3 linked regions of the Callithrix jacchus genome follow. The protein of the gene in region 3 purifies or fractionates together with the protein of the main gene of each other region. This does not show direct contact. Links are inferred from orthologs where the notes say so. Each region holds a gene or a part of one and is shown on either strand. Other genes may lie near its edges. The genes, in order: GDI1, GDI2 and RAB1A.

Evidence for each region.
Region 1: the proteins of RAB1A (region 3) and GDI1 purify together in Homo sapiens (affinity purification with mass spectrometry; 7 studies listed by BioGRID and IntAct, counting the BioPlex papers as one, with this or other methods). This does not show direct contact. The link is inferred for Callithrix jacchus from reciprocal best matches to the Homo sapiens genes RAB1A and GDI1.
Region 2: the proteins of RAB1A (region 3) and GDI2 purify together in Homo sapiens (affinity purification with mass spectrometry; 6 studies listed by BioGRID and IntAct, counting the BioPlex papers as one, with this or other methods). This does not show direct contact. The link is inferred for Callithrix jacchus from reciprocal best matches to the Homo sapiens genes RAB1A and GDI2.

What each region holds. Positions count from the first base shown.
Region 1 is NC_133524.1:150,229,159-150,239,695, reverse strand, and holds GDI1 (rab GDP dissociation inhibitor alpha), read right to left. Parts: upstream 6,605-10,537; 5' UTR 6,522-6,604; coding exon 6,477-6,521; intron 5,267-6,476; coding exon 5,159-5,266; intron 5,034-5,158; coding exon 4,934-5,033; intron 4,825-4,933; coding exon 4,690-4,824; intron 4,204-4,689; coding exon 4,005-4,203; intron 3,747-4,004; coding exon 3,615-3,746; intron 3,052-3,614; coding exon 2,952-3,051; intron 2,531-2,951; coding exon 2,359-2,530; intron 2,042-2,358; coding exon 1,897-2,041; intron 1,777-1,896; coding exon 1,722-1,776; intron 1,632-1,721; coding exon 1,479-1,631; 3' UTR 710-1,478; downstream 1-709. Other genes in the region: ATP6AP1 (V-type proton ATPase subunit S1), read right to left, coding at 7,786-7,995, 8,145-8,376, 8,464-8,511, 9,186-9,424, 9,900-9,985. UniProt on the Homo sapiens protein: Regulates the GDP/GTP exchange reaction of most Rab proteins by inhibiting the dissociation of GDP from them, and the subsequent binding of GTP to them. Promotes the dissociation of GDP-bound Rab proteins from the membrane and inhibits their activation.
Region 2 is NC_133508.1:8,009,161-8,019,597, reverse strand, and holds the end of GDI2 (rab GDP dissociation inhibitor beta), read right to left. Parts: intron 7,252-10,437; coding exon 7,152-7,251; intron 3,125-7,151; coding exon 2,953-3,124; intron 2,169-2,952; coding exon 2,024-2,168; intron 1,832-2,023; coding exon 1,777-1,831; intron 1,690-1,776; coding exon 1,543-1,689; 3' UTR 752-1,542; downstream 1-751. UniProt on the Homo sapiens protein: GDP-dissociation inhibitor preventing the GDP to GTP exchange of most Rab proteins. By keeping these small GTPases in their inactive GDP-bound form regulates intracellular membrane trafficking.
Region 3 is NC_133515.1:48,811,382-48,821,835, reverse strand, and holds the start of RAB1A (ras-related protein Rab-1A), read right to left. Parts: upstream 7,040-10,454; 5' UTR 6,849-7,039; coding exon 6,826-6,848; intron 1-6,825. UniProt on the Homo sapiens protein: The small GTPases Rab are key regulators of intracellular membrane trafficking, from the formation of transport vesicles to their fusion with membranes.

The sequences.
Region 1 (10,537 bases), on a different chromosome or scaffold from region 3:
GCCCCGCCCCACCGCGCACCAACTGGCCCGAAGTGTGAGCGCCGCCCGCCCGCCTCGTCGGAGACCGCCCCTGACCCCGCCTGGACTCCCGCTCCAGCCCCCACCGCTTGCTACTGTGGACCCCGGAGGCTTAATCCTCCAGTCCCCCGCGCTGCCTCGACGTTAACCCGACCGGAGGCTGGGCCCCCGGTCCCTCTAATTCCTCCGGTTGACCCCAAGGCTGGGCTCCGCCCCCTCACGTCTTTGATGCTGATCCCTGCCCAATGCCGGATCCCCTGGTCCTGTTGCTGCCTTCCTGCCTGAGGCCAGGCCCTGCTCCCCGTGCATTAACCCGAAAACTGGCACCCGTCCCCCTGTTTCACTTCGAATTCCATCCAAGGCTGGCCCCTGGTCCCCTCTGCCCTCTCCCTTCAAGCCAGAGGCCAGGACCCCAGCTCTCTCTGCTTCCTCCACGTTGACACCCACCCCTGCCGCACTCCCCCCGCTTGGAGCACCGAGGGCTTGCAGTCCTTGTGCCAGCATTCACTCATTCGGTGAATTTGATCTTACGCAGGTCAATTTGGCCCCAGGGTGCTCTGGGTGAGGAATTCCTTGGTGAGTAATGCCACCTTTTACAGTCCAGAGTGAAGCTAAGCCAGAGCCCCAACCCAGGCAGCCAAAGCCCTGCTAGGTACCCAGCTTTTGGGAAGTAACTGTAAAGATCCAGAGGTTCAGGTTTCAACCGTTTTATTGGGAGGTTCTGTTTTCTGTGAAATACACTAGAGAGGGGGAAGGGGACACATTCACTTTGCAAGGTAAGGGTTTCCCACCACTAAAGGAAAGGCATGGGGCAGGGCACACGGGGGTTTGGATCCATTTTCCCACCTCCTCCTGCTTTGCTCACATTTCTTTTCTCTCAGCCAATACCAGAGAACAAAACACAAAGACAAGAAACAAAACAGCAAATCAACCTCCAACGGGCCACGCCCAAGCCTTCCCCACTCCCCAGGCTGGGCAAGGGCTGGGGCATCTCACTCTACAGCCCCCAGGCAGCACAGGAAGGCTGCAGGCTCAGAAGGGGTGGGTTGAAGTTAATAAATTAGAATAAATTAGGGGGGAGGAATGCAACTTTGTGCTGGGAGGGCCCCTTCTCTCCAACACGCAAGAGTTGGTAGGGGGAGGTGGGGCATCTCCAAAGGCCACTACAGTGGGGGTAAGAGCGGTGGGGGCAGAAGTCACCCTTTCCTCCATGTTCTTCCCAGAGCAGAAGGGGTGGGGGGAAGAGACACACACAAGGAGAGGAACCCTCTTTTCCTAGGATAAGGAAGGGCCAAGAAAGAGGATGCTAACCAACCCCCCATCTTCCAAACCATCGCTAGAGTTAAGGATTTGGTCAGTGGATCAATGAGGCGGGTGATGGGAAGGTGGTGGGGGAAGCAGAGGATGCTAGAGCCCTCGAGAACAGACAGGCAGGGGCAGCAGGGGCGGGGCAGCCGCAATCACTGCTCAGCTTCTCCAAAGACATCGTTCTGCTTGCGCTTCATGTTCTCGAAGTCAAAGGCCGTGCCAGCCATGCGTTTGTAGATGTCTTTGATGTCGTTGCAGGTTGTCTCAAAGTGTGTGGTGGCATCATAGGAGCAGGAACAGAACACCTGGAAATAGCCAGAGCCCAGGGCCCAGGGTGAATCGGGCAGGTGCCCTGGGCGGGCAGCCAGGAGCCAGGGCTGGGATAGGCTGCTTACCTGGCTCTCAGAACCGTCATCAATGGGCTCATACAAGTCACTGATAGCCACAAACCTGAGGGGCAGATGGAGGGGAGGGGACAGGCCTCACAATGGGCCATGCCCATTGTGGGTCCTTAAGCCCAGCTCCTGGGCTCCCTCCCTCTCCACCCCCAGGCTCAGCCAAGTCCCTTACTTCTGGTCAATGGGCTCCAACAGCTCCAGAGCTGGCTCCACCTCCTTTTCGGGATCCATGGTCTCCACGGTAGTGCTGGCAATGGCAATGTACTTGCCCTGGGCCGCCACGTTGTGTGCGTAGGAGATCATGCACACATAGATGTCTGGCCACAGGAAGAGCTCTGTCAACTCAGGCTGGAGGCACCAGCCGTGTGCAGAGAGGGGTTCCAGCAGCTGGACGCAAGTCTGGCCCGCCTGCCCCTCCCCAGCCCCACAGAGCAGGTAGCATCCAAGCTGTCACCTTCCCAAACGGGAAGACTCCAGTCCACCCAAACCCTAGGGATCCAACTTGTGGTGACTGCAATGTGGGTCAAATTTTTTCTTCGGAGAGATAAGGCAAGGAGCTCCGACGCTGATGGGGAGATAAAGAGCAACCTCAAAGAGAACACCCTGGAGGAAGCTGGACCGGCGCCTGGCCTACCTGACTTCCTGTTGACCTGGTTCTGGGGGATGATGATTTGGCAGGAGTTGGCGTCATTGGTGTTCTTGATGGGGTGGCTAAGAATACAGATGATGCGGATGACCTGGCCCGCCTTCCGCACACGGTCTGGGATGTAGCTGGGGTCACAGATCAGCTGCTTGCAGCGGGCCACCTGAAAAGGCACCAGAGGTCCTCACCCCTGTCATATCACTCCCCTAGGTAGTCCTGGGGCTGTACTCACAGCAAGGGCAAGCAGCTCTGGCAGACAAGGCGCTCCTCAGAGCCATCACTACTGCCCCTCCTGAATGCATGGCCCTGCCCTGCAGCTCTGAGGTGGGCCCTGACACACAGGCCGGGTGCCCGGCCCCGCCCCCCATGGGCACTGTGATCAAGAACACTTTTGCACCACAGACGTGGCATGTGGACTCTCAGACCCCTCACCAACAGACATGGCTCTGACGACTTCTGGACCCCTAGTTCCCAGCTGCAAGGCCCTTGAGGCTGCGTAGCAGCAGACCCAACAGCACAGTCAAGAAGAAGGTGGCCACACCCCACCTCAACCATGGTGACAGCAGTGCATGGGGAAGGCTCACCTCTCCCTCAGACTTCACGCCCACCACCTTGCCGTTCTCCATGATGATGTCATCCACAGGTTTGTTCAGCATATATGTCCCCCCATAGATGGCACTCAATCTGTGGTGAGAATAGCCACGGTGAGGGCCCCTCCCAGGAGAAACTGGGACCAATTCCACTGCACCCTTCCCTCCACCAAGGTGCAAAGAAGGCTGCCCCAGGCAGGCAGCAGGCAAGAGACCCCGGGATTCATCCCAGCTCTGTCACTGCTGTGAACTCTGGCCCCATCTCGACAGGCTTCTTCGTCTCTGGAGCTTCTCCCCAGAATACACTGTCAAGGGTCAGCAGCAGGTGGCATGAAGGAGGAGTGCTCCACACCCACCAAGACAGCCTGGGGGACCAGAATGAAGGTCCTCTCTGGAGGTCAGCTCCCAGCTAAGCCCTGACTCAAGGTTCCATTGCCCTGGGCCCAGTCCTGGTGCTTCCAGGAACTGAGCAAGTTGTTTGTGGAGACTTGGTTCTTCGACTCTGACTTCGATACACTGGGGTTGTGCCCCCATCAGCCAAGGATGGAGCGAAGTCAATGAAGACCAATGCTAGCAGGGAAATGCTCAAGGGGCCAGCTCCACTCCTGGCCCTAGTCCTACTCAGCCAATGCCAACTGAAAAAACCCACGTCCTCACCTTGCAAAACCCTGAGGCAGCTCACCCAGGCCGTAAAGCGGGTATAAATACGGGCTCTTGCCATACCGGGCCAGGGACTCACTGTACAACTTGATGCGGTTGATGGTCTCAAGACAGGGCTGGTCCAAGTAGCTGGGGGACAGGGGTAAGGGAAGATGCTCCAATAGCAGCACCCTTGACTCACCACCACCCAGGTACCAGGCCAGTCTTCCCACCACCCTGAATGGCCTAGGGAACATGAAGATCAAATGCAAGGGGGAAATGGAAAGGGTGATAGGTGAGCCTATGGCTGAGTACAAGAGACATGCGGGGCAGGGGAACAGCAGGCAGGTGTGGGGAGGGAGGAGGCAGGCCGGGCGAGGGGGCTGCCGCCACACCAGCTTCCCTCACTCATCAGTGCGGTAGAGCGCCAGGGCGTGGCCAGTGAAATCGATGACATCCTGGCCCAGATCAAACTTTCGGTAGACATCACGCATGCTGGTAGTCTGAGGGTCAACACCCTCAAAGGTCTTGGGGTCATTCTCATCGAAGTTTGCCACAAACACCAGGAACTTGCGGAAGCGCCGTTTCTCAAACATGCCCATCAGATCTAAGGCAGGCGGCAGGACGAGGTTCTGCACCAGCGCAGCACAAAACTCTCCTTCCCAAAGGGCAGGGCCCCACTCCCAGTGTAGCTGTTGTGGGACCTTAGCTCAACCCCTCCGCTCTTTTCAGCCTCGGTTTCCCTGCCTCTATGAAGAGGGGACTGGCCTGGATGGCTCTAAGGGCCTTCCTTGCTCGGACATTTGGGGATGTCTCGGGGATCCAGTGGAGCCCCTGCCAAAAGGTCAAGTCTTTCCAAAGGAGCCCTGTCCTCCTCCACGTCACATCCCTGCTGCGTGTAGGCCTCTCTCCTGGCAGCCATCCGTGAGGCATGGCATGGGGCAGAGAGGATACAGAGTGAAGGGCCTCTGGTTCTTCATGGGGAATGTGACTTTGGACAAGGGGGTGCCTTACTCTGGACAGCCACCCATCCCAAGGACAGTCAACTTCCCTGCCACCCCATGATTCTCTGGCTCAGGGGGCCCACACTCACTGGAAGCCAAGGCCTCAGTCTCAGTGGACGGTACTTTGTAGATCTTGCCCCCCTTGTAGACAAAGCTGCCCTCCACCACCTTGAAGTCCAGATAGCGAGTCACCTCTGTATACAGTAGCATCTTTACCAGCTGCCCTGTGGGTGTGCATGGGGCAACATCGGCACTGCTCTCTCCAGAGTCTCTGCTGGTCTGGCTGCACCTCCCCATCACCCCGACCTGCAATATGTCCTTCCTGTCCCTCACCGTTAGCCATGAGGAATTTGGGAATGAGGTCAACGTTCCAGTCTCGGCCTCGGCCCATCGACTCAGGGGGCCCCTCCAGCAACTGAAAACGCTTATACAGCTGTAAGCAGAAGAGAGACACCTCAGGGACCATCTCCTCCTGCTCCAGGCACCTGGGGAGCTTCTTCTACCCTGTGCCGCTACGTGGGAGGTGAACAGGGATGGGCCTGGGCCCAGATGTCTCACCTCCTCCAGGGGTGTGATGGAGGAGCTCTCACCCCCATAGTAGGGGTTCCGGTCCATGTGCAGCACCTTCTTCCCGTTCACAGACATGATGCCCGACAGGATGCATTCCTGGAGGGAGGGCAATACCATCCTCTCACTCCTACCTGCCTCCCTTCCTACCAGCAGCCCTGATTTGTTCCCCACCCAAACCTGATCCAGTGGACAGCTCCTTCCACCCCCTCAAACCAGCTAGTTGCCTCGCCTAAAATTGGGGTGACAGCTTCATCTGACCACCGTCTCCTTTGTAACCTTGCTGGGCAAAGGAGTCCCATCCCCCTCACAAGGTAGGCAGTGAAATAATGGAGGCTCTGAGAGAGGCAGGGCATCCAGCAGACACAGGATGGCCTTCCAGTACCCACAAGCCAATGGACATGTATCTACGCAGAGCTGCACAGAAAGGCTGTTAAAACACAATGAGGCGCAGACGAGACCTAGCTGGACTGCGAAGGACACTCGAAAGGGAGGTGAAGAAAGGCTTAGCGCAGTCCTTGAAATTGTAGGCCCCACCCTGGACTGATCTTTCTTCAAATGGCGGGAGACCCTGCTGCTGATGAGGGGCATCTGGGCTTGGACTGAGAAAGAAGAGTCTCTCTGGGGAGCGGGCCAACGGGGTTTTTGGGGAAAAGGGGAAGATAAATACCCTCACCCGTCACTGTCACTAGCCCAAGGACAAAGGCTGCAGATGCTACTCAGCCTGAGGTCTCCATAGGCAACCGGGGTGGGGTTGAGGGAATGTGCTTACTGCCCCCACCGCTGCTCCTTCTGGAACATTCCCTGGATCCCCTGGCCCCAGAAGACGAGGAGGTGGGCTGAGGGCCCACCCTGAGGAGGCCCCCTGACCCCATGTCCCTGTCCCTACCGGGATTAGCGCAAGATGGGAAGGGACGCTAAGCGGGCGATGGGTGCGGGCAACCTGCGGGAGGGGGGGAGATTCCGTGATGGGTGGGGGCGATGGGTGGGCGGGGTCGGGGCACCGGGCTTAGCTGGGGTGCATTTTCCGGCCCAGCAGGCACAGGGGTAGGAAAGATGGGAGGGTGCCGGGGGTCAGACCCGGGCAGCCAGGAAGGGGGCCCCTTCGGGAAGATGGGGTCATAGCAAAAAGCAGAGGCGACGTCGCGGGGGGAGCGGCGCGGGGAGCGGCGGGGTGGGCACGGTGCCGGCTTTTTGGAGAGCCGAGCGCATCAGATGGCAGTGACCGGAGGGTGGGCCGGCGGCCACATCATCGCGGGGGGTGGCGAGGGCAAGACACGGGGCCAAGAGCGCCTGGGGCCGCACTTACGGTGAGGCCGGTCCCCAGCACGATCACATCGTATTCCTCGTCCATGGTCAGGCCTCGGTGCCAGTGCCCGCTCGGCTCCTCCTCCTCCTTCACCGCCGCCGCCGCCGCCGCAGCACTGGACCAAAGATGGCGGCGTTTCGGTCGCCGCCTGACCCCTCCGCCTCGTCAAAGAGTCCCGCCTATTCTCGAGCCCCGCCGCGCCCGGCCAGATCCACCGTTTCCCCAGCTCGCCTCCCAGGAGACCTGCTAGGGCCCGGGCCACAGCACCAGCGCGGCTCCGAGGACGACGCTGCTCGCCGAGGGTCCAGAGAGGCGCGGGGCGGGGCGGGCGGGGCGGGCTGGCGGCCGGTACTGCGGCTAGGAAAGGATCCGTGCGCGGAGCCGCGCGCGCCCCGCCCCATCCTCCCCGCCCCGCCCCGCCCCGCGCGCGCCCGCCCAGCCCCGCGGGAGGCTCGGCGCGGTCCCGCGGCCGGGTGCGCGCCGCTGCGGCAGCCGGGGCAGCCCCCTCATGATACGAAGGCTGCCATTGTCACGACGGCCTCCCGAGTCGCCAAAGCGTAACGGGACTCGGCCCGACCGCCCCTTCCTGCCCTAAGTGGTTAGGGCCCACCCTGCTAAAGCCCCTCCAGGTCTCCGCGGATGCTTCCTCACCTCTTCCTCACCGGGCTCCATCCTCCCGCATCCCTCCAGCGAGCACGCACCTAAAGCCCAGTGCAGAAATGACCTACAAGAGGCCCAAATCGTGGCGATCCGCGTTTATTAGGAAGGAAACAACCGAGCACGCCAGGCTCCTGCCAGGCACTCCCGATGGGAACATGCCAGACAGCTGGAGATTGCACCCAGCCCACCTGGGGTGGAGGTCCCTTCCTTCTCAGGCCACAGAAATAAACCCCAGTGTACTGCTTATCATTAGCACAGCATCACCAGAAAACAATAACGACAGCAAAGCAGGTCAGACAGTTAAGTAGTACCTCCACACCCCCAAACTCAGGGAGCCCCATAACCTTAAGGAGAGAGCATTTGCTACATAAAAGCACTATCCACAGCCAGGGATGATGTAGACACAATAAATAAGGAGAAAGGGGACCCTAGAATTCATGTCCCTTACGCCTCACCGCGGCTGAGCCTGGGACATTGGTCTAGCATCTACGCAGAATTATGTACACCTTGTTGGTAGGGATGGGGGCAGCCCCAGGAAATCTCCTTAGTGGGCTGAACGGGGAGCAAGATGGGCTAAAGGGAGCTTGGGGTTCATGCTGTGGTAGGAAGAGGGACACTGTCCCACCCTCAACCCCCTCCTGGCACAGGGTCACACAATCTGGGTCAAAGAAATGGTGGGGCCCTTGTGGTCATCAAAGCGATCCATGGTCTTGAGGCTGAGGATCATGTGCAGGCCATAGGTGAAGATGAAGAGCATGAAGAGGGAGGTGAGCAGCCCCATCCATATGCCGGGGGAGAAGAAGCCGGCGCAGTCGCTGGCATAGGAGAACTGCTCGCCCATCACATTGAAAGCTTGGATCTGGCAGACACACAGACAGGGGTCAGAAAGGACCGTCGGGAGGCCCGAGCCTGTGCCCAAGCAATTCTGTGACTCTTTGGGCCTCTCCTTGCCTCTCAACCACCAGCCTTGGCTCCATGACCTGAAGCTGGGCCACCCCTGCTCCATACCTGGAAGTCCTGAAGTGTCATCTGCCAGTGGGAGGGCTGCGTGCGGGCCACAAGGAGACTGCCCTTCTTGCTCAGGCTGCTGACGTACTCGCAGTGGAAGGAGTAGATGCTGGGTCCTGTGACCTGGGAAGCATTGAAATAGGCGACGGAGCCATTGCTGTGGATTTCGAGGCGCTCCATGGTAAACCAGTGCCGGGCGGACACTGGGTAGAGGCGGCTGGCCAGAATGAACCTGGGAAAGGCGGCAGGGATGTCAGGTGAGCCGGGGAGGCGGAAGTCACAGCAGCCCACCCGCACCTCAGCCACCCCCAGGACTTACTTGAATGTTACCGTGGTACCAAAGAGTCGTTCATAGGTCAATGAGAGCCTGCAGGGCCAGAGAAAGGGGCGCACTGTGAGGCCCTGGGAGGGCCTTCAGCACCTTCGAGGAACAAGTTCCTCAGCTCTGCTCCCTACCTAAGCTGCCTCGGGTCCTTGCAACCACCTGAAGAAGCAGTGTCCCCACTTGACAGATAGGAAAACTGGGGATTTGGTCACATTCCAAGCCCAGAACAGAGCTGAAAGTCAGGACCTAGGTCCTCCTTGCCACCAGCACGGGGTTCCTTCCTCTGGTTCCCCTGGACTCAGTGCCCCTTTTGCTCCCTCTTAGGTTCACTGAGGTACCTGGGCTGGGCTTCAGGGGTGAGAGCAAACGGAAGGGCATGGTTGCCTCATAAATGGCTCAGGTAGCTGGCCTGGTATTTACCCATACACAGTCCCAGACATTTTGCTCAAGGGGGAGGTGACACATTCCCAGGTAACCTTGACATGTTAACAATGAAGGTCCCAACCAAAGACTCACGAGCATGGGGAGGCAGAGGTCTGGACAACTCCCTCCAACAGCAACCTCCTGCATCCTCATGCTGCCCAGACCCCAAAGAGACCATGGCCATCCCCACCACAACACACAGACCTGACCCTGGCTCCCTGCCCCACCTGTGACCCTCAGTGTTGGAAAGGTCACCTGTGGTGGCCCAGTCCTCCCCAGCCTAGTGCCCTTGCCTGGCAAAGGAGTCATTCCAGAAGGAGCCAGTCAGGTTGAGCTCCTGCGCCCCAAAGGTGAGGGGGGTCAGATCCTCCCACTGGTCCTTGTACGCCACAGAGAAGTTTTGGGCCCAGAACAGGATCCGGGGAGTGGTGTCATTGTAACTCACAGGAGGATGGATCACAGGTGATGCTGGCTGTTTTTGTAGCAGCTGGCGACCTAGCCCCTCAGCCACCACAGCTACATCACGGACCACCTGCAGAAACACCCAACCAGCCTTCTTTTAGCAGCCCTGGGAGACTGTCTTGCTCCAACTCAACTGTCATGTCCCCCCACAGGGCACCCTGTCCACTCTCTTAAAGTCCTACCAGCCTTTCTTCCAGGAGACTTTCCCTGATGGCCCCTAAGTCCTGATGACATTCCTAGTCCCTCAAACTTAGGATCATTTAGACTTAGTGTCCGAGTTTGCCACCCACAAGTCTACAGGACAAGACAGAAAGCTACCCCTGGAATGGGGAGGCAGGACCTGAGTGCTCATCCTACTCCTCCCCCAGAGTCAGCCCAAGGACCAGCCACTCCAGAGTCACACTACAAGGGTTCTGTGCCTGATGCCTCCCCTATGCTGGGACCCCCCGGGGGGCCTGCCTGTGGCATACATCCCCACCTCCAGGCAGACTCACCACACTGCCTCTCCCCACATGCCCTAGAGCCCCTGCCGGAAGGGCACATACCCTGGAAGGGCGGACCGCTGTGAGGGCTGCTGTATATGGGACATCTTCAGACTTGAGTGTGCTCAGGACCTGCCCAATGACCTCATCTGAGGGTCAAGAAGGAAGCAGAGACCCAGGTCATCAGGCAGCCTGCTTAAAGAAACACTCCCACCGTCTGCTTTAGAAACCTTCTAGACTAGCTGAAATTGGTGATTTGACTTTCCACTGAAGATCCTTAGGAGCAGCTGTTTCTCATCCCATCCCCCCACCCCCATTTCCAGCTTCCCTAGGGACAACTGTGGCTTCAGTAATCGACTCCCTAATGTGAAGCCCTACCTATGTGACAAGAGAAAATACATGTAGATACAGAAAACTTCCCATCTACCCACAAAAGGATCAAGACTGCCTTTCCATGGGGAGTGACTGTCCTTTATCGCAAATAGGTAAGTCCCAGAATTGTTTTTCCAAATGTCTGCAGTCTAGTAAACCCGTAACTCTAGGATGCTTGCTGCCTGCGCAGAAACTGGCTGCACAGGCTCCAGTGCAGAGGCCCCCTCTGCCGAGTGGGGTCCGACTGGACAGGGTCCTCTGCCAGGTGGTCCCTGGCTAGTCCCAGAAGCCAGCATTTCCCTGCTCCACTGCCAGCTGCCTCGAGAAGC
Region 2 (10,437 bases), on a different chromosome or scaffold from region 3:
ATTACTAACCCAGCTTGGGCCTTTGCATGGGAAGAGGAGAGAAAGGCGTGCTGGAACTTAAGATAATTTGATCATACAGATAAAGCAGTGGACACTCAGTGACATCTGGAGACATTTTCAGTTGTCATTCCAGGATGCTCCTGTTGGCATCTAGTGTGTGGAGGCCAGAGATGCTGCGATAATCAACCCTACCCTACAATGCACAGACCGGCCCCTACAACAGAAGGATCCACCCCAAAACAGCTGTGGGAAGTTGAGAAGCTGTAAGATAATCACTGTGGCAATCTGAGTAACAATCTAAATCACCACCCTAGTTCCTCTTAACACATCATCTACCTTTGTCTCCACATAAGAGTCAGTCTTTATCTGTGGTAAACAGCATCTGCAGTAAGGCTCACACTTTACCATTTCAATTACAGGAAAACTATAAAGTACCTATTCTCCCTGACGATTCACTTACTCCCTTACAATTGCTGCTATAAGCAAAATCAAACACTGTAACCTGCATTTTGTCCACAAAAATGTTTTTCCTAAACCGAGATTATCAGAGTCTAGTAATTGCACTGTGTCAAGAATAAAACTTGAGGTGTACTCACAGGGATGCCAGACAACAGGACCGGCTGTAATCCATCCAGATCAGGAGACGCCCACGCTCTCCACTGCTCAGCACCTTCTGACTGGCATTGACTCCAGTGCTACTGAAGGAAGCACAGCAGCTGTGACCCTGGCAATCAGGACACATAAAGGAAAGTGGTTTCCAGAATTTGGCTTTATTTTGCAGTACAGAAATCATTTGGAGCCATTTTGAGACAGAAGTAGAGGCTCTGTCAAGTCGATACTGCATTGCAGCTTGGTCCATTGATGAAGCCACGCCTGAGACAAAAGATGCTCTCTACACTGTACCCGCTTTATGTTCGCTTCCTCTCCCCTTTTCCCTCATCAACTTTATTAGATCGAAACACCACATTCGGGCTTTCTCCACATGACTCCCTATGTCTGGAGTTTGGTTAGAATATTATGCCCAGGTAAACCAAATTTGTGGCTATGCTATTTGGACCCTGCCATAACACTTGACATAATACAAAATATAAAGTCACAGGGAAAACTTCTGGATGCCGTCCCAAACCGTGGAATATTCAATTTGGAATCTCCTCAATGTCAAGAGGACAGATGGCACACAACCTGTATGGATCCAGCTCTTGAGCAGCAGCACGTAACTGCAAAGGCTACACTGATTAAACATACAAATACTGTCTCAGTATCAGTATCCCAATGTTTACAACTGATCCTCCACTAGAAAAAAGAAAGCCAGTTTGGTTAATTGAACAGAATATGGTAACTGCCAATTCTGAATAGCCACTCCACGAAAACAAGTTAATACATAATATTAGAAAGATGGAGGGGGGGGAGTATTTACTGGCACAGCGCTCTTCATTCTCCACTTTGATTACAAAAGCAGGCCTTACAATACTGATTTCATATCATATGCATTATTTGCCGCATTGTAAATTTGTCCTAACTGGATAATAACATGTACTGCTGTTAGTCTTCCCCATAGATGTCGTTTTTCTTGCGCTTCATTTCCTCAAAGTCAAACTCTGATCCTGTCATCCTCTTATAGATGTTTTTAATGTCATCACATGTTGTCTCGAAATGAGTGGTAGCATCATATGTGCGGGAAATAAAGATCTGAAAACAAAAATTACAAAGACTTAAGACTGTGGAGGGATACCTTCCAGTGAACCTGCCCGTATCCTCTCACACCTCCATACTCACCTGGCTTTCTGTTCCCAAGTCTTTTGGTACCAGGAGGTCGCTGATGCTAATAAATCTGGAGGGAGAGAGAACTGAGTCAGATGAGCTGGTTCCACACCTAACCCTGGCTCTGCCTGAAATTCTGAGGTATGTATGACCCACAGAGCAGCCAACGGCCACCTGCCTTGCCCTCACATTCCTCCCACCGTGGAACCACAATCAAAGGCCTCAGTTTGCATCCTGGCAGATAGAAAAGAACACAACTCACTTCTGTTCAATTGGTTCCAAGAGCTCCAAAGCTGGTCTGATTTCCTTTTCAGGCTCCTTGGTTTCCACAGTGGTACTAACTATGGCGATATACTTCCCTTGTGCCGCCACATTGTGCGCAGAGGAGATCATGCAGACATAGATATCTAGAAACAAACACCACCAGCTCACTGCTCAAGTGTGTCCATCTGGGGCCCAGCACACTCAGGTGCCAACCATATGTGGGTGTGAATTACAGTGACTTAATAGGCAAGATCTTCTACACTTAAAGTTCTAAATGATCACAGAGTTGTAAAATACACAAATAGTTAACAATAGGCATTTCTTTTAACTTACTAGAGATTAAGAATTTATGTGGTCGCAAACTGCTGAACTTTGGAATGAGATCTCCTAACAGCTCTGTCATACCTAACTGAAAAAAGCTGCCAAACCATATTAACTATTCTGGGCTTTTCTTCCATTCTGGACTACTTGGAAAGGTTTTGAATGGCTAAGAAAGGATGTATTTAGTACTGATGTCCTCTTTGACTTACTAAAGTAACGTTAAATTGCAGAATCCACATAAACCACTTCTGAGTTGGCATTAGATAGAATTCTCAATTAGACTTGGTCTGTATACTACTCATCCAAGTAACTGTAGTGTCCTCTATAGGCACCTACTGTTAGTCAGAGCTGGGAGCCTCAGGGTTCACCTAGCCCAGTCTGTTCATTCTACAGATGATGGACACAAATCTAGGGCTGGCTCCAAGTTGAACCTGTCCCTGTCAACACAATGCTGCAGGACCGGGAAGTGGTACAAGGATGACATTTTCCCCCTCATATGTAAACCAAAGTCTGTTCACTAATAGAGCATACACAATTTGAAATAAAACACAAAGCAAATAATATCTTAAAAAAATCTACGAACATCTCCTGGTCTTCAAACCTCACCTGACTTTCGATTGACTTGGTTCTGTGGAATAATGATCTGGCAGGAGTTGGCATCATTGGTGTTCTTGATGGGGTGGCTGAGGATGCAAATAACTCTGATCACCTGGCCCACTTTTTCTACCCGATCTTTTACATAGCTGGGATCACAGATGAGCTGCTTACAGCGAGCAATCTGTAACAAAGCATTTAAGAAGACACTGAAGCTGACACAGATATATGGAAACAAATCCCACGTTCATGGTTTTAAAGATTTAGTATTGTTAAGATATCAAAAACCATCCTATGGTTCATATTGGTTCCCAAGGGATTGCATTCTGGAACAACCAAAGCAATCTTAAAAGAACAGCAGTAAAGCTGGAGGACTCACTAAAAAGCTATAGTGATCAATTCAGTGTACCAGCATAATGACAAACGTGGACCAATGAAACGGAAAAAGGCCAGAAATAAACCCTCACCTCCACAGTACAATGATTTTTGACAAAGTTGTGAAGACTATTCAATGAGAGAAAAACAGTCATTTCAACAAATCGTTCCAGGAAAACTATCCACATGCAAAAGAATGAAGTTGGACCCCTACCTACCACCACCCACAAAAACTAACTCAAAATGGAAGAAAGACCTAAATGTGATATCTAAAACTATAAAACTCTTAGAAGAAAACAGTGCAAAACCTTCATGACACTGGAGTTGGCAGTGATTCCTTAGATCTAAAACCAAAGACACAGGCAACAAAAGAAAAACAAATTTCATGAAAACAGGATTTCATGAAAATGTAAAAATTTTGTACATAGCCAGGCATTATGGCATATGGCTATAATCCCAGCTACTTGGGAGGCTGAGGCAGGAGAATTGCTTGAGTCCAAGAGTTTAAGTCCAGTTCAGGCAACAGAGCAAGACACTGTCTCTTTTAAAAAAAAAAAAAAAAAAAATTGTGCATCAGAAGACAGTAATCAAGAATTCAGGCAACTCATAGAATGAGAAAAAATATCTGCAAATTATATATCTCATAAGGGATATATCACAATTTATCAAGAACTCCTAAAACACAACAACAACCCAGATTCAAAAATGATCAAAGGGTCAGGTGCAGTGGCCAGTAATCCCAGCACTTTGGTAGGCCAAGGTGAGCAGATCACCTGAAGGTCAGAAGTTGGAGACCAGCCTGACCAACATGGAGAAACCCTGCCTCTACTAAAAATACAAAAATTAGCCAGGTGAGGTGGTGGGTGCCTGTAGCCCCAGCTACTTGGGAGGCTGAGACGGGACCCCGGAGGTGGAGGTTGCAGGGAGCCGCAATCACACCACTGCACCCCAGCCTGGGCAACAAGAGCGAAACTCGTCTCCAAAAAAAAAAAAGATAAATTTGATGTGTACTTTATTACAATTTATAAAAATTGGAGGAAAAAAGACTAACATTCAGTGTCTGCAATGTTTTCAAGAGTGTATTAATGTAATTTTTACCTTGAATATAATCTGTTATCTTCATAATCTAACATATAAAAAGTTGAGGTTAACTATTGAAGTGTGATTGTTAAAGCTAGCTTTGTCAATAACCCTACATATTTTCTCCTGGAACAGATACATGAACTGTAAACCCTATTAAAATACTAGGAAAACTGTGTTGCACAGTATTCAGGGTACAAGTTTTAGAATTGGGCAGCTCAGGGTTCAAATCCTGGCTCTACCTAACCTCAAAGGATTGTTGTTAGGACTAAAATTCTCCCATGTCCAACCTCTTGAATGCAAGGACATTTTTGCTTATTTGTGGTGGCAGATATCATTAAAATTATGCATGGACCCTTTTTCCAGCTATGTTAGTGTTAGCATATTTTATGTGTGATCCAAGACAATTCTTCTTCCAATGTGGCCCCCAGGGAAGCCAAAAGGACAGTAGTGAACTAAATGAAATGGTGTAAAAAAGTCTGTCATTATATGTGCGTGTCCTGACAGAAAGTAAATGCTCAATAAATGTATTCTAAATAGACCAAAATCCTTACCATCTTAAGGCTATGCTTTCTAAGAAAACCATTCATTGCAAAATAAATGTATTAAAGCCTTTTCATAGTAAAGCCCTGAAGCTTCAGAAACACGAAGAATGAAACAAAAGAATAATATGGAATAAAAACAACTTTAAGAAGTCAGATTAAAACACTTATCCCTGGCCGGGAACAGTGGCTCACACCTGTAATACCAGAACTTCGGGAGACCAAGGCAGGTGGATCATGAGGTCAAGAGATGGAGTCCATCTGCCCAACATGGTGAAACCCCATCTCTACTAAAAATACAAAAATTAGCTGGGCTTGATGGCAGGCGCCTATAGCCCCAGCTACTTGGGAGGCTGAGGCAGGAGAATCACTTGAACCCGGGAGGTAGAGGTTGCAGTGAGGCAAGATCACGCCACTGCATTCCAACCTGGCGACAGAGTGAGACTCTGTCTCCAAAAAACAATAAAAAATAAAAAAAACAATTATCTCTTAGCTCCTAAACAACTATGATGCTGAAAGCACAGGCAGTGTTACTGTCCCTGACGAAGATCTCCCGGCGTGGAGCTGGAAGATAGTGAGACTGATGATGCCACACACAAAGGTGGCTGTGTGGAGTCTGCTGGACCCAGATGGTAAACAGTGCTGTTTGTACTGATATGCCTGAGCATTCAGTCAGCATTAACAAAACCTAGTAATAAACATGTCAAACAAAATATGGTTTCTTTTGTGCTTTGTAACTTCATATAAAGTAGATGAGAAACTAGGACAGAGACAAGATGAAAGGGGGTTATAAAGAAGCTGCCTAAAATATATGTTCAAAAGATCCAATTAAGTAACATTTTAGAGGCCTGTCATGGTGGCTCACACCTGTAATCCCAACACTTTGGGAGGCTGAGGGGGGTGGATCACTTGAGGCCAGGAGTTTTGAGACTAGCAAGACTAGCCTGGCCAAAATAGCGAAACCCCGACTCGACTAAAAAATACAAAATTGGCTGGGCATAGTGGTATGTGCCTGTAATCCTAGCTACTGTGGAGGCTGAGACAGGAGAATTGCTTGAACCTGGGAGGTGGAGGTTGCAGGAAGCTGAGATCACACCACTGCACTGCAGCCTGGGTGTCAGAGCAAAACCCTGTTTCAAATAAATAAATAATTGAGTAACATTTTAGTAGATAAAACATACAAACCCAACACCACCCAGCACAGGAGTTTACATCCTCAGGTGTATCATGACAGGGCTGTGAGTGAAGAACACCTTGATTCCAATTCTACCCCAGCCATTCACGGAATTATGTGCCCTTGTAGATGTTTCTTAATTTAAGCCTCCAAGTATAACCTGGACGTAATGCCTGCCTCTTAAGACATTGTAAGGAATAAATGAGATTTAAAATGTGCTTCACAAGTTATTACCAGGCTTTTTTTGCCCTAGGTCAGTCCTGTATTTTCTCTCTCTTACTCACTGTCCGCTTACACCAGCTACCAAACTCTGATCTCAAACTTTCATTTCCAGTGACATCTAAACGGCTGAAAATGCCCCCCACCCCACCACCCAGGAGGTTTCTACATTTCCATACAGCTTCATATTAAAAAGATAAAGCTGAGATTTGCAGGATTCCAGGGACAGACAGTAAAGCAGTACACTTGGAGTGCATCCTCTACTCCAGGAATTGCTGCAGACAGTAACTGTGTCAAATGGCGGAAGAATTCTTTCATACGGCAATAAAGGGAAATGGATCTTTTATTTCCCTGCAGCATCCACATCACCTGAGAGGTTTCAAGGAAATGCAGAGCCTTCTCAGACCTACCGAATCAGAACATACACTAGAGCCAGATTAACAATGCTTCATATGTAATTCAAACTTGCAACGCTGCTCAAAACTCCACACCCGTGTAGTTGGCCAGCAAGTATAGATCAATTTAAATAAAAATTTGGGAGACAGGCACAACCCAAACTAAGAACACTGAATACTTACCATTTAGAGCTTACCCATAATGCATGTTTGAATATTAAAATAATTGACAAAAAAAAATTTTTAGTTATGTTTTTTAAAATAGAGCACAACATCTGTAACTAGTCCTTAGTCACGATAAACACCAACCTCCCATACAGAAACCATATACATCAGTGTCCACACCAAAATAAATATTTAGAATACACAATTTTCTTCACCAGAACACAGTATTTTTTTTTTTTTTTCATTTTAAAAGCTACTTACTTCTCCTTCAGATTTTACACCAATTACTTTTCCATTCTGCACAATGATTTCTTCAATGGGTTTATTCAGCATATAGGTACCTCCATAAATAGCACTTAGCCTGAAAAATTTTTTAAATCCCAATTAATAATATATAATCGTTTCAACTACTAAAGTCCCCTTCCTTAGATCTTAATGAGTTATAGGCAATATGCATTTATTTGTTCAATTTCCTTCTAGGAAGATGTCAGCTTAAAAGTGATTAAAGCATGAGCACACACACACAAAGCGGTATCTCAAGCCAGCAAACACGCAGAGCTGGTGTTGATAACTGACTGACTAATAAAAGGAGGCACTCATCTCTCAAGCTGCCCACTTGGCCCTCTTCTAAGTGTACTTTCTCTCCTTCCTTTCATTTCTACTTGAGCTTGAATAAACGTTCGCTCCTGCTCTAAAACTTGCCCAGGTCATCCCTTCTGCCTTGTATCCCTTGGCCATTCTTTTTTCTGAGGAGAAAAGAACTGAGGTTGCTGCAGACCCATACGGATTCATCTCAGTGCAATAATATATTTTGGTGCCTCTGTGACTCGGATACCGTCCACCAGTAACACACTTTGGTGCCACGTGACTCAGATACATTCCCTAGCGGTAAGAGGCCTCTACGCCTCATCTTCTTCCACTGGAGGCGTTCAACCCCCATACACAGTTTGCTTCCCCGCGTTCACTCTCCAGCTTGCTAAGCAACCACCAGAACAGTTCTTCTCAGCCACAGCGGCTCTGCTTCCACAACTTATCCCTCAGCTCACCCTGATGGATGGCTCACGGGGTTGGGAGAGACTTGGGGACACTAATGGCCCTCCTGGACAGGAGGCTCACAAGAGCAAAGCCTAAAGCCATACAATGTCTGGGGTTTTCTCTGCTCTTTCCCAAAACCCACACTGTCTATTCTCCTGTCTCTTCATGTGTGTTCTGAAATGGCCTTGGGCAGTTGCAGGACTATCTGCACCAGAGGCAAGTCCGCCATTTCTCTAGGTTCACTTCCCAAAAAAAAGAAAAAAAGCTCTGACCAGTAATAGCTATATTGGTCTACTATTTTTACTTCAGCAAAAGAGTGAGCCAACAGAGCTATGAATTGGAAGCAAGGACCCAAAAGATGATAAAACAATTATAGAGAAGCAGATTTGAAGAGGCATGTGGAATTTCTTCTGGCTGAGAATTAAAGATTAAGGAAAGAAAATAAACAACTAAAGGCTGAAAAGGGCAGACTTCTAAAAGGTCCAATAGAAAAGGAGCTGGATGTAGATGCTAATTTTGTAGAAACATCAGAGTTATGGAGCTAGCTGCCACATTTAGAAACTCTACAGCCTCTTCAGCCTGGCAAAAGTTTGCAGCAAATACCCGGAAAGCAAAGGACATTCCAATCTCCAACCTTCCTCCCTTGGATTTTCCATCTCCAGAACTTCCCCTTATATAGCTTTCTGGGGCTATTCTGAAAGGATTTATGAATAATTAAAATGGAAGGCCACAGAAGAGGGGAGAAGACAAAATAATGCAAAAAAAATGAAACAGGAAACCACATAGAAGGATAATCCTGGAAATGCTTCATCATCTGGCATACTTGGGAGAAGAGGCATTGCCAGGCCTTGGGAAACAAGTCACTGTGAAATGTGTCACATATTATCTGATGCACTGACTTGAGCTACTGATTCCGACTTGGCAGACACTAAATTCATGCAGGTTTAGTTTCTCCAGATAAAAACCAAACGGTTACATGAAATAATTTTTTCAAACAACAATTACTTTTCTTAAGGGTTAAAATGCATGAAAGTTGGGCCGGGTACGGCGGCTGACGCCTTTAATCCCAGCACCTTGAGATCACCTGAGGTCAGGAGTTCGAGACCAGCCTGGCCAACATGGTGAAACCCCGTCTCTACAAAAAATACAAAAATTAGCTAGGCATGATGGCAGGTGCCTATAATCCCAGCTACTTGGGAGGCTGAGATGGTAGAATCACTTGAACCCAGGAGGCAGAAGTTGCAGTGAGCCAAGATCGCGCCACTGCACACCAGTCTGGGTGACAGAGCGAGACTCCATCTCAAAACAGACACTTCTCAAAAGAAGACATTCATGCAGCCAACAAACATATGAACAAAAGCTCATCCCTGGTCATTAGAAATGCAAATCAAAACCATGTGAGAAATCATCTCATGCCAGTTAGAATGACAATCATTAAATAGTCAATAAATAGATGCTGGAGAGGATGTGGAGAAATAAGAACACTTTTACACTGTTGGTGGGAGTGTAAATTGGTTCAACCATTGTGGAAGACAGTGTGGTGATTCCTAAAGGATCTAGAACCAAAAATACCATTTGACCCAGCAATCCCGTCACTGGGTATATACAGAAAGGATTATAAATCATTCTGCTGTACAGACACATGCACCCATATGTTTACTGCAGCACTGCTCACAAGAGCAAAGACTTGGAACCAACCGAAATGCCCATCAGTGATAGACTGGATAAGCAAAATGTGGTGCATATACACCACAGAATACTATGCAGCCATAAAAAAGAATGAGTTCATGTCCTTTGCAGACATGGATAAAACTGGAAACCATCATTCTCAGCAAACTAACACAGGAACAGAAAACCAAACACTGCATGTTCTCACTCCTAAGTGGGAGGTGAACAATGAGAACACATGGACACAGGGAGGGGAACATCACACACCAGGGCCTGTACAGGGGTGAGGGGATAGGGGAGGGAGAACATTAGGAGAAATACCTAATGTAGATGATGGGTTGATAGGTGCAGCAAACCACCATGACACAAGTATATGTGACAAACCTGCACACTCTGCACATGTATCCCAGAACTTAAACTATAATTTAAAAAAAAAACTATAAATGTATGTTATGTGTAATTAATCTATAATGCTATAAATGATAATGTAAAATCTAAATAATATGGTGGCCTGAGGGGCTGCCTTGTATTTGAAACCTGCTTTCTATCATGCATTAATTATATGCATTTTGTTAAAATAAGGTATGTAAGATACACACCCTTCTAGATATAACTGTGTGTACCAAACTTTGCACTATTCATAATAACCTCAAGACCATCAGGAGAAATATTTATATTTCCATTTTATGAAGAAACGAAATTCTTAGTTATGCTTTTTTAAACAAATTACCAGTTTACATAATTTTTTTTGGGGGGGGAGGAAGGCAGAAAGGAAGGGAATAAGGACGGTAGGGAGGAAGGAAGGGATGAAGGAAGGAAGGGAGGAAGGAAGGAAGGAAGGGAG
Region 3 (10,454 bases):
TGGATGACAGAGGAAGACCCTGTATCTCAAAAAACAGACACTCAAAGGTGATTGGCAAATATTTTGAATCTCAAAACCTTAAACAGCATTTTATTTTACACTAAACATGTTCATATATTAAGAAAGTATATACCTTTCATACATACACACAAAAAAGCTACTCTTTACTTTCCAAAATAAAACTTAACTATTACAACTACAAATAGTGAAACCATCACAGGTATAGTCAAAACTACCCAGGAAAGAAAAAACATACACATATACAACACACAACAGATTGCTATGGAATGTGAATATAGAAGGATGTTATTACCATACAGGTTAATTATTAAGACTGCTTCCAGAATTAAAAAGACCAAGATATCTGAGAAATAAAATTACTCAGAAAGGAAAATTCTCTTTAAAAGCCAAGCAGAGGCCAGAGCAGTGGTTCACACCGGTAATCCCAGCACTTTGGGAGAGCAAGTCAGGCGGATCACTTGAGGTCAGGAGTTGGAGACCAGCCTATCCAACATGGTGAAACCCCATCTCTACTAAAAATATAAAAATTAGCTGGGCATGGTGGTGTGTGCCTATAGTCCCAGCTACTCCGGAGGCTGAGGCAGGAGAATCACTTGAAACCGGAAGGCGGAGGTTGCAGTGAGGCAAGATCACTCCACTGCACTCCAGCCTGGCCAACAGAGCAAGACTCTGTCTCAAACAAACAAACAAAAAAGCCAAGTAGAGAACTGGCAAGGGAATATTTGATTTTGAAGCACTTTCATCTTTAAGACAACATTTAAAAAAAAAAAACCTAAAAGATCTGATGGTTAAAAAAAAAAATCCAACACCCTTCATTTCAACTTAATTTGATGAAAGAGGGAAATGTGTATCTTTTTTTGAGACCAAGTCTCACTGTCGCCCAGGCTGGAGTACACTGGTATACAACTCCTGACCTCAAATGATTCGCCCACCTCAGCCTCCCAGAGTGCTGGGATTACAGGTGTGAGCCACCTTGCCCAGCGGAAACAGGGAAATTTTTCAACACAAAATTTCAGGCTGGGAATGGTAGCCCACCCAGTGCTTTGGAAGAATCACTTGAGGCCCTGAGTTTGAGACTACCCTGGACAACACAGGAGGCCCAGTCGCTACAAAAAAATTTTTACCATGAAATTTCAGTTATCTTTTTTTTTTTTTTTTTTTTTATGGGAGTCTCGCTCTGTCGCCCAGGCTGGAGTGCAGTGGCGCAATCTCAACTCACTGCAACCACCGCTTCTAGGGTTCAAGGTATTCTCCCGCCTCAGCTTCCCAAGTAGCTGAGACATCACACAGGTGCTACCACACCCAGCTAATTTTTGTATGTTTAGTAGAGATGGGGTTTTGCCATGTTGGCCAGGCTGTTCTCAAACTCCTGACTTCTGGTGATCCACCTGCCTGGGCCTCCCAAAGTGCTGGGATTACAGGCATGAGTCACTGAGCTGGGCCTCAGTTTTTATCTTTAAATGATCCTACAAGATCATCATCTCATTCACTTAAAATTCTCAATATATATTTTGTAAAGGTTCTATAACAACTACTGAAAACATCAATTACCAGAAGAATTACCAGATGCTGATATTCTATGGACATTAAAAAATCATACTCTAGACAATGAGAATACTAGTTATCTTTCTTCTTTAAACTTTTTTGAGTTTTTCAAACCACCACCACCAAAAGTCACAAAGACAAACTGCTTTCACTTTCAAATACTTAAGTTTTTAAAAAAAAAAAATTATTCGAAACAGGCTGGATGCAGTGGCTCACCCCTATAATCCCAGCACTTTGGTTGGCCAAGGCAGGCAGATCACCTGAGGTCAGGAGTTTGAGACTAGCCTGGCCAACATGGAGAAACCCCTGGCCAACATGGAGAAACTACTAAAAATACAAAAATTAGTGGGGTATGGTGGTGGGTGTCTTTAATCCCAGCTACTCAGGAGGCTGAGGCAGAAGAATCACTTGAACCCAGGAGGCGGAGGTTGCAGTGAACCGAGATCATGCCATTGCGCTCCAGCCTGGGCAACAAGTGAAACTCCATCTCAAATTAAAAAAAATATATATTTGAAACACAATGCAGACCAAAAAAAAAAAAAAAGTCAAATGCTTCTTGAGACTACCATGAGAAGAAAGCAAAGTCTGAAGGACTGATAAAATTTTCAGAGATCCTGGAGCCATGATAGACTTAAGGGGGTGGGGGCTGAAAACAAGGTAATTTTTCTGCATTAAAGAATTATGGTTGCTCCAAGTAGACTACTAAATTTCTTCCTGTAATAGTTAGCTAGTATACTGAAGAAAGGTACACATGCTTTATTCTTAAGACATTCCTTAAAGATGAAGCAATCAAAATGACTTTCTCAACACTAAAAAAATCCACTAGAAGCCAATAGATTATGAAAAATGTTTCTGGTATAAAAATAATGTTAAGTATTTCTTTTTTTTTTTTTTTTTTTTTGAGATGGTATCTCACTCTGTCTCCCAGGCTGAAGTGCAGTGGCACCATCTCAGCTCACTGCAGCCTCCTCCTCCCAGGTTCAAGCGATTCTCCTGCCTCAGCCTCCCAAGTTGCTGGGATTATAGGCGCGCACTACCAGTCTGGGTATTTTTAGTAGAGGCAGTGTCTCACCATGTTGGCCAGGCTGGTCCCAAACTCCTGACTTCAAATGATCCGCCCACCTCAGCCTCCCAAAGTGTTGGGATTACAGGCATAAGCCACCATGCCCAGCCATGTTAAGTATTTCTTAACCAGTGTGCTGAAATAATCACTGCCTGCTTCAATATGTAGCTCAAAAAAATTCCAAATTTTTCTTCAGATCCAAAAAAAAAAAGCTTTGACTCTTTCCATCTACTTTTTTCACTGTTCAGATTACATTTTTAATTGCTTTTTTTTTTTTTTTTTGAGATGGAGTCTCCTTCTGTTGCCCAGGCTGGAGTGCAACGGCGTGATCTCAGCTCTCTGCAACCTCCACCTCCCGGGTTCAAGAGATTCTCTTTCCTCAGCCTCTAGAGTAGCTGGGATTATAGGCACTAGACACCATGCCTGGATAATTTTTTATATTTTTAGTAGAGCTGGAGTTTCACCATGGTGGCCAGGCTGGTCTCGAACTCCTGACCTCAGGTGATTCACGTGCCTCAGCCTGGCCAACACGGCAAAACGCCATCTCTACTAAAAATACAAAAATCAGCCAGGTATGGTGGTACATGCCTGTAACCCCTTAGCTACTCAGGAGACTAAGGCAGCAGAATTGCTAGAACCCAGGATGTAGAGGTTACAGTGAGAAGAGATCGTGCCACTGCACTCCAGCCTAGGGGGCTGAGACTCCATCTCACAAAAAAAGAAAAAAAAAGAAAAAAAAAAAAAAAAGGCCCAGCGCAATGGCTCACACCTGTAATCTCAGCACTTTGGGAGGCCAAGGCAAGCGGAGCACCCGAGGTTAGGAGTTGAAGACCAGCCTGGCTAATATGGTGAAACCCCATCTCTACTAAACCAATACAAAAAATTATCCAGGCATGGTGGCTGGGACCTGTAATCCAGCTACTAGGGAGGCTGAGGCAGGAGAATCTCTTGAACCCGGGAGGCGGACGTCGCAGCAAGAGTAAGCCAAGATCACGCCATTGCTCTCCAGCCTGGGCGACAGAGCAAGACTACGTCTCAAAAAAAAAAAAAAAAAGGAATACAGCTATCAACTCTTATGTAAACCAATATAAATCTAAAAATTCTGTTGCTTGAGAAGCTTTCTTGTCAAGAATCCATTTTCACTACCAAATTCAGCAGCACCCATAACACGGATTATAAATTTCTAAAAGAAACAATATAAATTAGTAATGATAAACCAAAGTAAGTTAAGGAACATCTGGAATACACTTGTAAACATTAGCTAATACACCATTGTAAGTACTAAGATAACATACTGGAAGCAGGAAAAGCATCCACCCATTAAAGTTGTAAATGAAGAGAAAGCATAAAACTTTGGAGTTTGGAACAAGATGTTAAAAACAAATGAACTTGTATTTGGGTGATAAAATATTAAGAACTTTTCTTTCTTTCCTTTATTTTCCAAATTTTCTCTAATTACTTTTACAAAGGTAACAAGCTTCATTAAAAAAACTGCAGGCCGGGCACAGTGGCTCACGCCTGTAGTCCCAGCACTTTGGGAGGCCGAGGCGGGTGGATAACGAGGTCAAGAGATTGAGACCATCCTGGTCAACATGGTGAAACCCCGTCTCTACTAAAAATACAAAAAATTAGCTGGGCACGGTGGTGTGTGCCTGTAATCCCAGCTACTCAGGAGGCTGAAGGAGGAGAATTGCCTGAACCCAGGAGGCGGAGGCTGCAGTGAGCCAAGATCGAGACATTGCACTCCAGCCTGGGTAACAAGAGCGAAACCCCGTCTCAAAAAAAAAAAAAAAAAAACCTGCTAAAGTCAGATTGCTAAAAATCTGATTGTTGGCTGCCCTTGTAACCTTCCCTAATAAAATATCCCTCACTTCCTCTTACCCTAATTTCCACTAACATTTTTGCAAAAGTTTTCCCAAATTCCTGTTTTACTTTACTCAACAGTCTAGATAGACTACAAATATAGTAGGCCAGATACTCATGTATTTGATGCCAGAAAAAATATAAAAACTATTTCTGGATTTGATTCCATTGAGGTCATTAATCTAGTCTTCAAAAGAAAAGGATGATGTGATACCACATTTACTCAAGAATTACTATCCCTGTCATCTATGAGCCATTCCTGCTTCTCCTCCTTGAAAATTCCTTCTCACTCCCTCTGTTCCTCCAAATCCAATTGCTGCTGATAATTTCCTTTCAGGTCTCTTTTCTATAAAGTCTTCCAAAACCCAGATAGCTAATCACAACCCACCATCCCCGAAATCTTGTTGCTCTCATCAACGACACACATCTGGAATTTGCTGCATTTACTGGTATTTGACATGCATAAAATGTTTATCTATATTCCTAAACTCCTTAAACATAAAGATTATATTCCTAAATCTTAGCACTAATAGAACGCCTTTCATGAAAATTACGCATACTACCTGAAGAATGCTCATATAGTTTTCCTAATTCTTTTATATGCATTTGAATTTCACCACTACCCTGAAAGGAATAATGATTCCAATTATTCTATTTAACAAAAGGGGAAATAAATTCAGAGGCTAACTTGTCAAAGTTCTCAACTAATCTTGAATATCTATTTACAGTACTAAACATATATATAGTAAATTCAGAAAAAGCCCTTAACAGTACAGGTTTATGAACTTTGATAGAGCGGTAAATCCATATTCTTTACTGTTACCAAGAAAACCACTAAATTAAGAACCTCAAGTTCAACTGTGTTCACCTGTGCAAAACCAACTGTGTCCTTGGAGCCCTTGAAAAAAAAATTTTTTTAACTGTCAACAAAGTAAATATGTCACTACAAGAACACTACCGTCAACTTCTAAAGCATAAAATTCTAATAAAATACTATGGTTTCAGTTTAGTGCAAAAGATTTCAGCATCAAGCCAGTGTTACAAAACTTGAAGAATGCATTTTGCAAGAGCCATGTGACACACACATGACAGTCAGCTAAACTGGTGGGTGGACCTTTTAGGGGAAAATGTTTAGCAGTAATTGATCAAAGCAGCAAATAAACTCAACTTTTACAACAAATACTCATTTCCCCCATCCCTCAAAGGCTTTTGACACTGAAAAGAAATACCAATTCTATCTCTTCCAATTACTCATTACTTTACATATATGTAAACTGTAGAGGAAATTTTTAAAGGGCCACTGAGGAGAGCCAACAAAGTCTACCCAAGGGAAGTGAACACCAGTTCCCAGGAAAGGTGCCAGGTGTGTCACATCTGCTGTCGTGACTTCTTGAGTAAGCAAGAAAAAGAAATGCATTAACTTTTCATGACACGTCATGGAACCTCATTGCCTATCATTCCCTATCTGCAATCATTCAAGCAGGTAATCCAAAACCTACATACAGATCTATCATAGGTCCCATTCGTTTCTCTTTCAACTTGACAGCAGGGTTCCTTTAATCTGGTAGTATCAGAAAAACATTCCTTGGCTTTAGCTGTGTGTTTTTTTTCCTTGACCTACAGAAGACAAAATGACTTAAGTGTCCTCTAAAAAAAAAAAAAAAAATTCTCACAAGTGCCCAGGTTTTTAGGAGGGCAATGGAACCGCCGAGTTCTTAAAGAACTCTTCCAAGACACAACTCAAAAAAGAGAACTTAAAAATCGCTTCTCACCATCTACTCATTCCCCTCAATCCCAAGCAGTCCCGAAAAGCATCCATATTACCTGAAACCTGGCGGAGAGGATGGAAGGAGAGGGAGCCAAGAAGCTCAGGATTTGCAAGTAAAGCTGGTTTCCACCCCGAGGATCCTGACAGTTCCGCAGAGTGCGGGCGCAGGGTCTGCCAGTGCCCTCTAGGAGGGCTCTCCCACGCCATCCCCTCCCCTCAGAAACAAGTCCTCCTTCAAAAGTCACTGCCTCCAGGAAAAGCTAACCCTTCACACCGCCTCAGGACCCTCCGCACAGTTCCTCAGCACCCGCCCCACACTCAGGCCCTCCAACCTGACCTGGTCCAGGCCCGGGCGTCTCACCCCTCCGGCCCGACCCCTCCCCCGCCCGGCCGCCCCTCCGCGTCAGACAATGGGGCCCGGCTCCCGGCCGCCAGCCTCTCCTGACCCATCACCCTCGCCTCAACCCAGCTGAGGCTCCGACTTCCGCCCCAACCCTCCTTGCCCCCTTTAAGATCCCTCAAGCTGGCCCACGGACCCAGCCGACCGGTGCTCTCCTGAACTCACTATTCGGGATTCATGCTGGACATGTCACTGCAGCTGCCGCCGCCGCCACCGCCGCCCTTGCTGCTGCAGCCGCCGCCCTGACTCTCCGCGCCACGGGTAATCGAAGGAAAGGAATGAGATAGGCTGTTCCGGGAGAGCAAACGTCTTCCCCCACTCAGTCCCCTAGAACACAATCAGCAGCCGCTGCCACTCAGCTATCGCTTCCACCCAAAATGGCTGCCGGCGAACCAGGAAATAGGGAAGCCTTAGACCAAGGAGCCTTTACACAGCCGGAGGGCGGCCGCACCGCCTGGCATGCCGGGAATGGGAGTCGCGAGTGCGGATACGCGAGCTGAAAACAGACGGTGCGGAGCGGAGGCCAAGACTCAGCTTCCCGCCAAGCGCCGCGCGTTTGGAGCATGCGTACTTGAAGGGTTGTCGCCCGCCCTATTCCCCACTCCCTCACCTCCCCACCCTCCGCCCCTCCTTGCTCCCCTCCCCTCTGACTCGCTGGCTAGGACTTCGCTCTGACTCCCCCTGGCGGATTGGCTAAGGCCGAGCGGCCCTGGTGATGTCAGCAGTGAGACGTGGCAGCTGGGCTAGTAAGCGCCCCACGCGGGAGGGGGCGGAGAGGGGCGGAGAGAGGCGGAGGGCGGTGCCGGCGGTCGACGGAGGCTGGGGGTCGGGGAAGGTTGGGGACCGGAGGGAGTGGTCAAACCGGAGAGACTGCCGGGGTGCAAGGGCGGGGAGGGGGCCGGGGGCGGGGGACACGCGTGGCGGCTCAGGCCCCCGGTGTGGCTTTTGCTGACCTAACCAGCTTGAGGCTTGCGCCACCCGGCTGGCTAGTCGGAGGACGTCCGCTCTAAGGACAGAAGGGAAGTCAAGGGGCTCCCTGGACAACCCGGAGCGGTTCTTTCACTTCTCACCCAGCCCCAACTTGGTTCGGTCATCGTCCATTGTTGGCCCCGCGCACTACCATTTTCTTTGATTTCTTCTTATTCTTACTGCTGCCCCTGTCTTAACTCGTCAGCCTGGATATTGCAGTAGTCTCCTAATGGGCTCTGCCTCTCTCTTCTCCGCCCCAGCCCATTTGCGCACACAATCGAATGTATCTTTCTGAGACAGCACCTCTACCATGACCCCACAACCTTCAGTGGCTCCACATTCCATGGACGGGAGGGACACAGCCCAGAGCCAGCCTAAAATCCAAGTCCTCCCTTCGTGCCAGCCTTCAAGTTGAGTTGTAATGTCTTATTTTCAGTTGTTACTAATCCTGAGCCATTCTGCAAGATTGGAAAATAATAAACAATAAAAACATGCAATTCATCACTACATAATGCCTACAATTTCTGAGGGTATTATTTATTAACTCATTTTTTAAAAACCTGTGGTCTTAACAGCTCTCTTTAATCAGCGCAGGAATTTAAATCTCCACTAAACTTTAACACATTATCTTGAGTTATTTAATTACAAAGGGCATAGTATAATACATTGTCCAAAGTTTATATTACAGCTTCTAAGAACTAAGAAAATTGTCTCCTGAGACTTACTGCAGAATCACTTTAAATTACTACAACGCCAAAATATAGAAAGAAGGCACTTATATCTACCTATACACTAATTACACCCCTTAACCCTCAAATTCTGCCGTGGGCCTTAGTTGATAAATTTTCAAAGGTTATATGAGTTACTTCACATGCTGGCTTCTGAAATGAACACCGTCACCAACCAAGGAGTATCCTGAATGGTTCAGTAATAGGCACAAAAAAGTGATCATTACCCTGGACCCTAAAGTCTATGACCCTTCCTGCTTATTGTAATTTCAAAGAATAAAAACTAAGAAAACTGGCCTGGCACGGTGGCTCACACCTGTAATCTCAACACTGTTGGAGGCCGAGGTCGACCAATTACAAGGTCGGGAGTTCAAGACCAGCCTGGCCGACATGGTGAAACCCCATCTCTACTAAAAATACAAAAATTAGCTGGGCATGGTGGTGCATGCCTATAATCCCAGCTACTCAGCAGGCTGAGGCAGGAGAATTGCTTAAACCCCGGAGGTGGAGGTTACAGTGAGCCTGGACGCCACTGCACTCCAGCCTGGGTGACAGAGCAAGACTCCATCTTAGGGGAAAAAAAATCTCAGAAAACTGTGACCTGAGTCACTAGTAAAGACACACACACACACACACACACACACCCCGAAAACCCCTCAGAAAAGTGTCTAGAGCTCATCCTAAGCCAAAAATACAATCTGTCCTCCCCCGGGAAATATACTCCCAAACTTCCTTTAATTAACTATTTTCTTTCCCACCAAAGAATTACCTCTGGCTGGGCATGGTTGTGTATATAAAAGGTGTAATAAAAGGTTGTCCAGCCTTGCAGATAAAAAAGTCTCTCAGGTAATTCCAGCACTTTGGGAGGCTGAGGTGGGTGAATCATCAGGTCAGGAGATCAAGACCATCCTGGCCAACATGGTGAAACCCCATTTCTACTGAAAATACAAAAATTAGCAGCTGGGCTCAGTGGCTCATGCTTGTAATCCCAGCACTCTGGGAGGCTGAGGTGGGTGAATCATGAGGTCAGGAGTTCGAGACCAGCCTGACTGGTGAAACCCTGTCTCTACTAAAAATACAAAAAAATTAGCTGGGCATAGTGGCAGGTGCCTGTAATCCCAGCTACTAAGGAAGCTGAGGCAGGAGAATCACTTGAACCCAAACGGCAGAGTTTGCAGTTAGCTGAGATCACCCCACTGCACTCCAGCCTGGAAGACAGAGTAAGACTCCATCTCAAAAAAAAAATACAAAACTTTGTTGGGGTGTAGTGGCTCACACCTGGAATCCCAGCACTTTGGGACGCCCAACTAGTAGATCATTTGAGGTCAGGAGTTCAAGACCAGCCTGACTAAAAACACAAAAATTAGCCGAGCATGGTGGTGGGTTCCTGTAATCCCAGCTAATGGGGAGGCTGAGACAGGAGAATTGCTTGAACCTAGGAGGTGGAGATTGCAGTGAGCCAAATTCGTGCCACTGCACTCCAGCCTGGGCAACAAAGTGAGACTGTCGCAAAAAAAAAAATTATCCAGGTGTGCTGTTGGGTGCCTGTAATCCCAGCTACTCAGGTGGCTGAGGTGGGAGAATCGCTTCAACCTGGAGGAGGCAGAGGTTGCAGTGAGCTGAGATCACACCACTGTACTCTAGCCTAGGCGACAGAGCAAGACTCCATCTTACAAAAAGAATGGGGCTTGCTGCCTTGGGAGAGGCAGTGATAAACTACAGGAGGGCAAGAGGGGAAATGCGTGGTGAAGAAAGGTTGTCCAGCCTTGCAGATAAAAAGTCTCTCAGGTGATAAAAGTTATCTTGAGGCAGCCCTCCTTCTGATACAGATACTTTACTAATGTAGATTTCCTTTATAGACATAACATTTATTTTACAAAAGGAAAGCTTTTCAGAGCTACTCCTGTGTCTGCAGTTTTCTCAGAATAACCAGCTCAAAATATGCCACCAAAGAAGTATATTTTAGGAGGGCATATTCTAGTCCCCCAGAGTGACATTTGAGGAAGTATGTCCTGAGCCCCAACATCTATTTATCTCAGCTTCCCTGAAAATCTTAAGTGCACTTGCTGTGTACGAAGGACAGAAGGGCTCATAGCT